2 linked regions of the Oryzias latipes genome follow. The protein of the gene in region 2 interacts with the protein of the main gene of each other region in a pairwise test. Links are inferred from orthologs where the notes say so. Each region holds a gene or a part of one and is shown on either strand. Other genes may lie near its edges.

Region 1 (3,500 bases), on a different chromosome or scaffold from region 2:
AGTCGACGAGATCCTCCACCAGGAAGAGACGGCTCATCTGCTTCAGGCCTCGGTTGATGTAGGTCAAACTGGCGTCCACGTGCTTGCGGAATGTCTCTGGGGGGATGCTGACATCCTTATTTATCAGCATCCTGCAGAGATGGAATGAGGGGAGAACACAAAATGAGGAAGAGGAGCCTGGAGTTGACTGGAGGTCCGACAGCTGTCAAGAACAACCAGAAAGCATTTTCTCTGTCTCAAATAAAATGTCTTTTCCATTGATCTGAGGGATAAACCTGGTTGCTCCTTATTACGCATCTTTTATACAATTCTTTGACCATCAGAGAAGACCTGAATGTGTCCACAATGTGAGTCAGACTTCTTTGACTCTAAATGATATCATTGTGTCATGAACCGGCAGCATCACTCCAGAGTAAAACAGACATGAGAAAAGAAACACGGAGACGTTCAGAGTCATGCTTTGGGAGAACAACTTTATCTACTTCTGATCAATATGAACACATTTCATTGATAAAAACCCACAGCATACGCCGTATTCCAACACATTTCTCTGCTTTAAAGTCTACACACATGATTATTCCAGATGCTAAAAATCGTCGTTCTGTTAGAACGTCACATATCTGTCATACAAACCTTTTTTTGAAAGCTACCACTCCTGTTTAAAGGGCCTATGTCATGCAAGATCAACTTTTTTTAAGCTGTGTGTGTCATAATGTGCATTATAAGTATATCATGATGTTCATTCCTCTCAAAGAACAACCCCAAAGTGGTATTTTTGATCCATTCATGTTTTTCTGAGTATTCCTCTAAAAACCTGCTCTCCCAATCCACCAAAACGAGTGGGGCCCTACACTGTGACATCACAAAGTGAGGAACCGCCCCTTCCAGGAAGAGCCAGTACCACCCCCAGGCTAACAGACACGCCCACTTCTTCCCAGACTTGAAACGGTTAACGACTTTGGTCTTACTTGAAGGGGTGTCCATCGTTCGACTTTTGCACGGCCTGAAGAACGGACTTGTAGATGCGGAAGGAGATGGTGACAATGAGCAGAGCGAGCAGCAGGTAAGACGCCACGCTGATGACACTGAACGCTGCCAACGACAGCAGCATCAGCAAGGACAGTCCGAACACCACGCCCGACTTCTTGGGGTCTCGCCAGTGGATCAGGTCTTTTACTGCAGAGAAGAACAAGCAGAAGGTTATACTGATGCCGCTTTCCGGAACCTCCTAAAATCCAGTACAAACGCTAAAGAAACACTAAAAGGAGTTTTGACTAGAAGTAAAATCACAAAACAAAAAACAGCACGACTTTGATATACTGCAGCTTTTCTTTTAACTGTCATAAATGAAAGAAATGAATTTAAAGATATAGCTAAACTACAAAAAAAAAAGTTTCCAAAGTCTATTCTGACAACAAAAGCTCACAAAAACGATGCAGTAGATGGGATTTTCTTTGTCGCTCAGGCCCCGACTCAAAAACCTCAACACAAAGCAATCATGTTTGAAAACACTGCTACTCCTAATATAGCTGGAAATGGAAACCATTCAAACCATGAAGTGGCAAGAATCCCCGAAAATGTACGTATAAAAGCTTCAAGCAGTTTGTAAAAATATGCAGAGGAAGGGGCACTTCAAATATTTTAGAGCACCATTTTTACCACTTTAGGTATTGCACAGCATTGTGCTTATTGTAGTTTTCCATTCAATAATCAATGGGCCTTGCTCTCTCTGGTTTCTGCTGAGGTCCCAGTAAAAAGTGGCCTGGTTTCACCATGTGCTGCTTCTAAAGCTTCACACCAACAGCAGCACTGCACTGAGAGGAAAAAGCTGTGGAAGGAAAGGGCGGAAGGTACCGTTAGCAGTCATCCACCACAATGAGGCGACGCCTCCATTTTCCAATTTCTGAGAAAAAGAGAGCTCTTCAAAGGTCCTGGGTCGTCTTTCGACGAGAGCTACCAGGAAACATTTGATGTCGACTGTGTCAATGTTCAAAAGGAGCTCGACAGTCAACAATAAAGGTCACCTAAAGGTTACTGAGGGACGGCTGTTTTCACAAAACACTAAAACATCCCAACAATAGCTGCGTTTCCATCACACAAATGCGCAAAGTTATTTAAATTCTAGAAATGTTGAAGAAACAATTTTTCAATTACAATTTTAAGTTAAATCCTAATTATGTGAATAAACAAACCAACTGACGCCATAAGTCATTTAGAAACACGGCGACGGATGTGAACTATACTTTGATCGACAGCAGATACATTCCGATTTTTGCCACGGCACTAGCGCTCATCATCACCCATCAAAGGAGACGTTGGCGTCTTCTTCAGGCCGTGGAGCGGCGAGTTCCTTCACGTGGGAAATGGTTGGTGATTTTCTAGAGGAGCTGTGGATCCAACAATTCCACATGACACGCTCAACTTCTGATGAGCTGTATGACCTCTGGTGGCGCCCCCTATGCAGGGCTCAAGGTCGCCACTTCCTAACAAGAAGCGCATCGCCATTGACTGACATGTTTCAAAACAGTAAAAACGCCACAGGTCAGAAATTTAGGTTTCATCTTGTGAGGAAATACTTTATGGAATGTAATTCCATTTTAATACATTATTTTTGTTGGAAGAAGGCTAAAGTGGACCCTAGTCTTTCTGACGTTTTACTTCATGTTGGACATTTATCAAAGTCAAACATATTACTTTTAAACGAGCTCCGTAATCCAGAGATTTTGCAGATTTCTTTGCACTTTAGTAAAGGTCTTCCTTCTTTAATAGTCTATGTCCTTATAAAATCGTTTCTAGTGTGTTTTCCTGCAACTGAAATGTGAAGTTTGTGTATTTTTATGAGAATTGCTAATTCCTTAAAGGTTTTGCAGATGAATAATCCAGTGGTTTTGAAATTAAGTTCGTCCAATGAATACACCCCCCCAGCATGTCTCTACTCCCCCCACCCAGTAAGCTGGGAAAAACTGCATCGGGGCAGAAACCTGACACGGGGCTGGTGGGGGGTGGTGGGCTGTGGCTCACAGGGCTTCAGGGCTCCTTAAGCCGACTCTAGGCCACCACATTTAGACAGGACTCTACTCCAGTTTAGGGGCTATGATGAGTTTATATGGGAGTGTGCCCCCCCCAGATGAAACTCGTCTGTGACTAATCCACAGCCACAGTCCAGCCTACTGTGGTACACTTCGCGCTACTCCAACAGAATTTAGTTTAGAAACTACAGATGTGTTTATGATGCACATCCAGCTTGAAGTTAACATCTTTGTATCCAACTGTTGCTTTACATTTAGCGCTACATATATGCTATGCTATGCTATGAGAGCCCGCTCACAGCAGTTGTAACTTCATCCACCCAAAGTAATCTTTCACAAACAGCCATTTGCTGGTGATCTAATGTTTGAAAGCAGTTTCTGATATCTAGACGTTATTAGACTATCAGAGTCAATAGTTAGAAAAAAAGTACCTTCTTCATTTAACCATCTTAATGCGGGTTTACAGTGAGT
Region 2 (4,218 bases):
TGCTGGAGCCGGATGTAAACCATTGTCTACGGGTGACATCACAACCGCTCTGTCCAGTGAATTCCTTCACTACTCACTACATAGTGGACTATATGGCGTGTTTGGCAAACACCGTTTGCCGTTTTGTAGTGCCGTCCAAATCTACAATTCCTAAATCCAGTGCCCTAGAAATTTCCCAGAAGTCTCTTCAAAAAACCAGTGTGCGTCGATGCTTACTAGATTGGAAAATGTAGACCACAATGCATTGCGTTGGAACAATTTTTGCAAAAAAATTCATTTTAATTTCTTTTTTAAATGAACCATCAACATTTTTATCTTCAGATGACAGTGGACTCATAAATAATCGTCGCTAAACACTCATAAACGCTCACCTTTTTCATTAGGTTTAGCTCTCTGAATGCCTCAGCCCCCCCCCCCCCCCCTGCCTCCACCACACCTCCCCCCTGCTCCTGCTCCCTCTCTCATATCACCTCTCACCCTCATGAACCCCCCCACACCTCCTCACCTTTCACCCCCCTCTGCTACACCAAACCTATTGGGCCCACAGTTCATCACACCACCCCCCTCCCTCCCTGTTTCTCTGTAACAGCCTGCCAGGTGAAGAAGCAGCTGGAGAAACTTAACCAGCACAAAGCAGCCGGCCCGAATGGCATCAGCTCTCGAACACTGAGGACCTGTGCCCACCATCTGTCTGCGGTTCTCCAGCATCTCTTCAACCTGAGCCTCAGACTGGAGAGGGAGCCGCTCCTCTGGAACACCTCCTGCCTGGTCCCTGTACCCAAGAAGTCATCTCCATCTCACCCCAGTGATGTCCGTCCAGTTGCCCTCACGTCTCATGTGATGAAGGTGCTGGAGAGACTGGTTTTGGCTCAGGTGAGACCGTTGGTGAGCTCTTCTCTGGACCCTCCTGCAGTTTGCCTACCGACCCCGTCTGGGGGTGGATGATGCTGTCATCCATCTGCTGCAGCTCACTCACTCACAACTGGATGGTGGTGGAGGCATGGTGAGAATCACCTTCTTTGATTTCTCCAGTGCCTTTAACACCACCCAGCCTTCTTTACTGGGTGAGAAGCTGCTGCTGATGGGTGCCGGTGCGTCCACCGTCTCCTGGATCACTGACTACCTGACAGACAGGCCACAGTTTGTCCGACTGGGCGGCGTCCACAGGGACTCTCTGAAAGGTTTAGGAAAAGCATGATGGAGGCCCTTTACAGGTTGAGGGTAATCATGTTTAGTTTCTGTCTGTTAACAAACCTAAAATGAATGGTTTTTATACTTATTTCAAATGTGTTCAGATATTTGTTTGTGTTTGTAGCTGCCAGCCACCAACAGTTCTTTTTGTTCCGTCTTTTTCCATTTTTATGAATGGAGGCAGGGTCACTTGTAAAGTTCCGTTCGGAACCGCCAGGGGGTACAGCAACATGCGGAAAGAGAGGAGTAGAAAGCCTCTCGCGCAGCATAAAGGCGACGTTCAGAGGCGAAACCTTGCGATTCGTGGTATGGAGCAGCCAGCGGGTGGCTGCAGCCCTCTGATCTCTGTCAGGCTAGGTGGGTGAGACGTGTTTCATCGGTTCAAAGCCAGTTATTATCCCCCGAGTTGAAGCAAACCCCCAGCTTTCAGCCCTGTGTTCTTTGTTGTTTTTTTCCCTCCTCCTCTTCGGGTGAAATCTGACACATCAGCGGCTCTCATCTCTAGTTTGGATGCTGATTCATGCTAATTGGCCTGCGTGGATAGCAGCAACACATTTTCGGAGGGGGAAGAGGTTCCACTCAGATGTCGTCGGCTGTGAAGGAGCCCTAAGCCTCGACTGTGACACGAGGAGCACGCGCGCACAGACATCTCCCACTTTATGAGAAGGAGGACGAGGCTGTAGAAAAAGGTCATCGGAGAGCTGACGGGAATCATGGCAGCTACTTTATCGGCGGAGGAGGAACAGGTAGGCCTCCGCAATGTTTTCGTGGGAGATTAACCTGGAGGGATGTATTTTTTATTTTTTTTCTCCGTGCCGACTTTGCGTCCGAGCCGCGATATACGTGGTGCGCAATAGTGGTTTTGTTGCTGGGAGGGGAAAAAAAAGTCCCGAGAACGAAGCGGAAATATTGTATCGATTTTTGGTGCATTATCGCTTGAGTTGCATCACTGACGGTTCCTGTCCAGCGTCTGGAACGAGGTGTGGAGCCAGCGCCGCGGATGAGGACAGTTTCATCTGAGTTACAGAGCGTGACATGACCGGAAATCATTATAGAGGAAGGGTTACCGCGGACTCACATCTTCGCGATTGGGTCACTCAAATGTTTACACTTGAAACTTGAAGAAAGCCTGTAGAGTTATGGTGGTTAAAGCGCTGTGACGCATTAAATTCGGTAACTTTTTCACCCAAATCTATTCTATACTATGCTAAAAAGTATTATTTAATGTCATCAAACGGGTTACAGAGCAGTTATTTATGAACTAAAAGACCAGTTCTGTCAACTTTTCTCTGTTTGAGTCGATGAGAAAACCGTCGATTTTTGAAAAAATATTTAAAAATTGCACGTTTTCGTTTTAGTGAACATGAAAACGTTCTCAATAACTTATTAGAATAAGCAAAAGCCGAGAAACAATTAAATTTAACTGGTAATTTGGTCGTTGTTTTCATTCCAAATGAAAGGGAATTATGGGAAATTAATGAGTCGACACGTTTCAAACCAGTTTATGAGCTTTCCAAACCATTTTCTTGCCTGATACTGTTGGCTCTCTCATAGCTAATAATACATTTATTGAAATTGGACAGTGCAACTTCAAAACTATGCCCGATTATGGTTAGAAAAGTCAGAATTGGCCAAAAGCTAGTTTTTGTCTGTAATCCTCAGCGAGTTTATGCTTCCAGATAAATTTGACAGGTTCCTGGTGTAAAGATCCATATTTATTTTTTTAAAATTGTTGCATTATTGCTAGAATAGTTTAATTGATTAAAATGGCTCCTGTGAACGCCTGTCAGCAGCTGTGGGAAGAGTTCATAGAGTTGAAGGCCATTTGTTTTCTTCAGGTGTACTCTGACATGTCTGCAGTGTCTTCTCTGTGCCTACTCTTCCTGCTGACTCTTCATCATCTGGCCAGCAGAAAGTGCCTTATCTGCCTATTCCATTTCCTGTGTGAGCCGAGGGCCCCTGCTTCAGAACCGGACGCCCTTATTACATCCACAGCCTGGGGAGGGAGGGAAGCGGGGGTAGTGGTGGTGCTTGGTTGGATTGTGTGTGTAGCAGCCTGGCTCCCCTGTGACCGTACTGTTGTAGTGGAACTTCATTCTGAATGCAGCTGTTAAAAGTATTTCCACTAGACGTGGGGGAAGGGGAACCGAGTGTGTGTCTATCATGTGCTCAGAAAGTGTGTGTGTTGTGTCTACTCCTAGGAAGTGGTAGAGTTGGAGAAAGTGGGCAATAGGGAGACAGTGAACGCGTTTGACTTCCTGTTTGACTCGTGCCAAATGGGACTGGGTGCAGCCATTTGGCAGCAGCTGTCCCACATTTGTAAATGGATCAGCATGGCATCTGTAATCAAATTGATCCGCAGAGGCGCTGTTGAAGGGAGCTTCAGTGATAAAGAGCAAGAGTAGCTTAGTCTGCAGGATCAAGGTGTAGTCGGCTCTACCTCACCCAGGCCACTGGATGTAATTTGAGACCGACGTGGCGTGGAAGAGCTAGTGATTAAAACGCACACACATATGTTTCAACAGCTTTGAAAAGAACCCACATCATCAGGCGAAATGTATGCTTTTTATATGTTGTAACTAGTTGGGTGTGCATGCATGCTCAACTGCAGCTCGAATAGAAAGGGGTGGGTTGAGCAGAGCATTAAGGGCGTGGGTGGCTAAAGTGTAGGCGGTTTTCAGGGTGATATATTTCTTAGTTTAGGGCAAAAACTAAACATACAGATGACTCACAAACTGGAAAGAATAGATGGGGTTAATTATAAAAAGGTTAAATGCTTTGTGCACATCAATGACTTGTATTCATGCCTTTGTAACATACAAGCAACAGCGCAGAAGAGCTGAGGGTCAACTGTAGATGGAATCAAACGCATCTTGTTTTTATTGTCATATTGGGTAAAAAATAATATTTACATTTGTGGTGTAATAACTAATAATCTCAGCCTCATAGTTTGCATGCCATCTTTGTTATCGGTATTACTCGACCCCCAACTGTCTGTTCCTGGGTTTGAAGGAGATGCAAAAGTAT

What was found. The genes of interacting proteins can lie anywhere in the genome.
Region 1: the proteins of ptpn9 (region 2) and reticulon-3 interact in binary tests that used the Homo sapiens proteins (3 or more experiments, as listed by UniProt). The two-hybrid records come from large-scale screens. The link is inferred for Oryzias latipes from reciprocal best matches to the Homo sapiens genes PTPN9 and RTN3.

The regions. Positions count from the first base shown.
Region 1 is NC_019876.2:28,990,963-28,994,462, reverse strand, and holds part of reticulon-3, read right to left. Parts: intron 1,177-3,500; coding exon 969-1,176; intron 132-968; coding exon 1-131. UniProt on the Homo sapiens protein: May be involved in membrane trafficking in the early secretory pathway. Inhibits BACE1 activity and amyloid precursor protein processing. May induce caspase-8 cascade and apoptosis.
Region 2 is NC_019864.2:10,371,308-10,375,525, forward strand, and holds the start of ptpn9 (tyrosine-protein phosphatase non-receptor type 9), read left to right. Parts: upstream 1-1,418; 5' UTR 1,419-1,548; intron 1,549-1,621; exon of another isoform or gene 1,622-1,696; 5' UTR 1,697-1,904; coding exon 1,905-1,937; intron 1,938-2,269; exon of another isoform or gene 2,270-2,364; intron 2,365-4,218. UniProt on the Homo sapiens protein: Protein-tyrosine phosphatase that could participate in the transfer of hydrophobic ligands or in functions of the Golgi apparatus.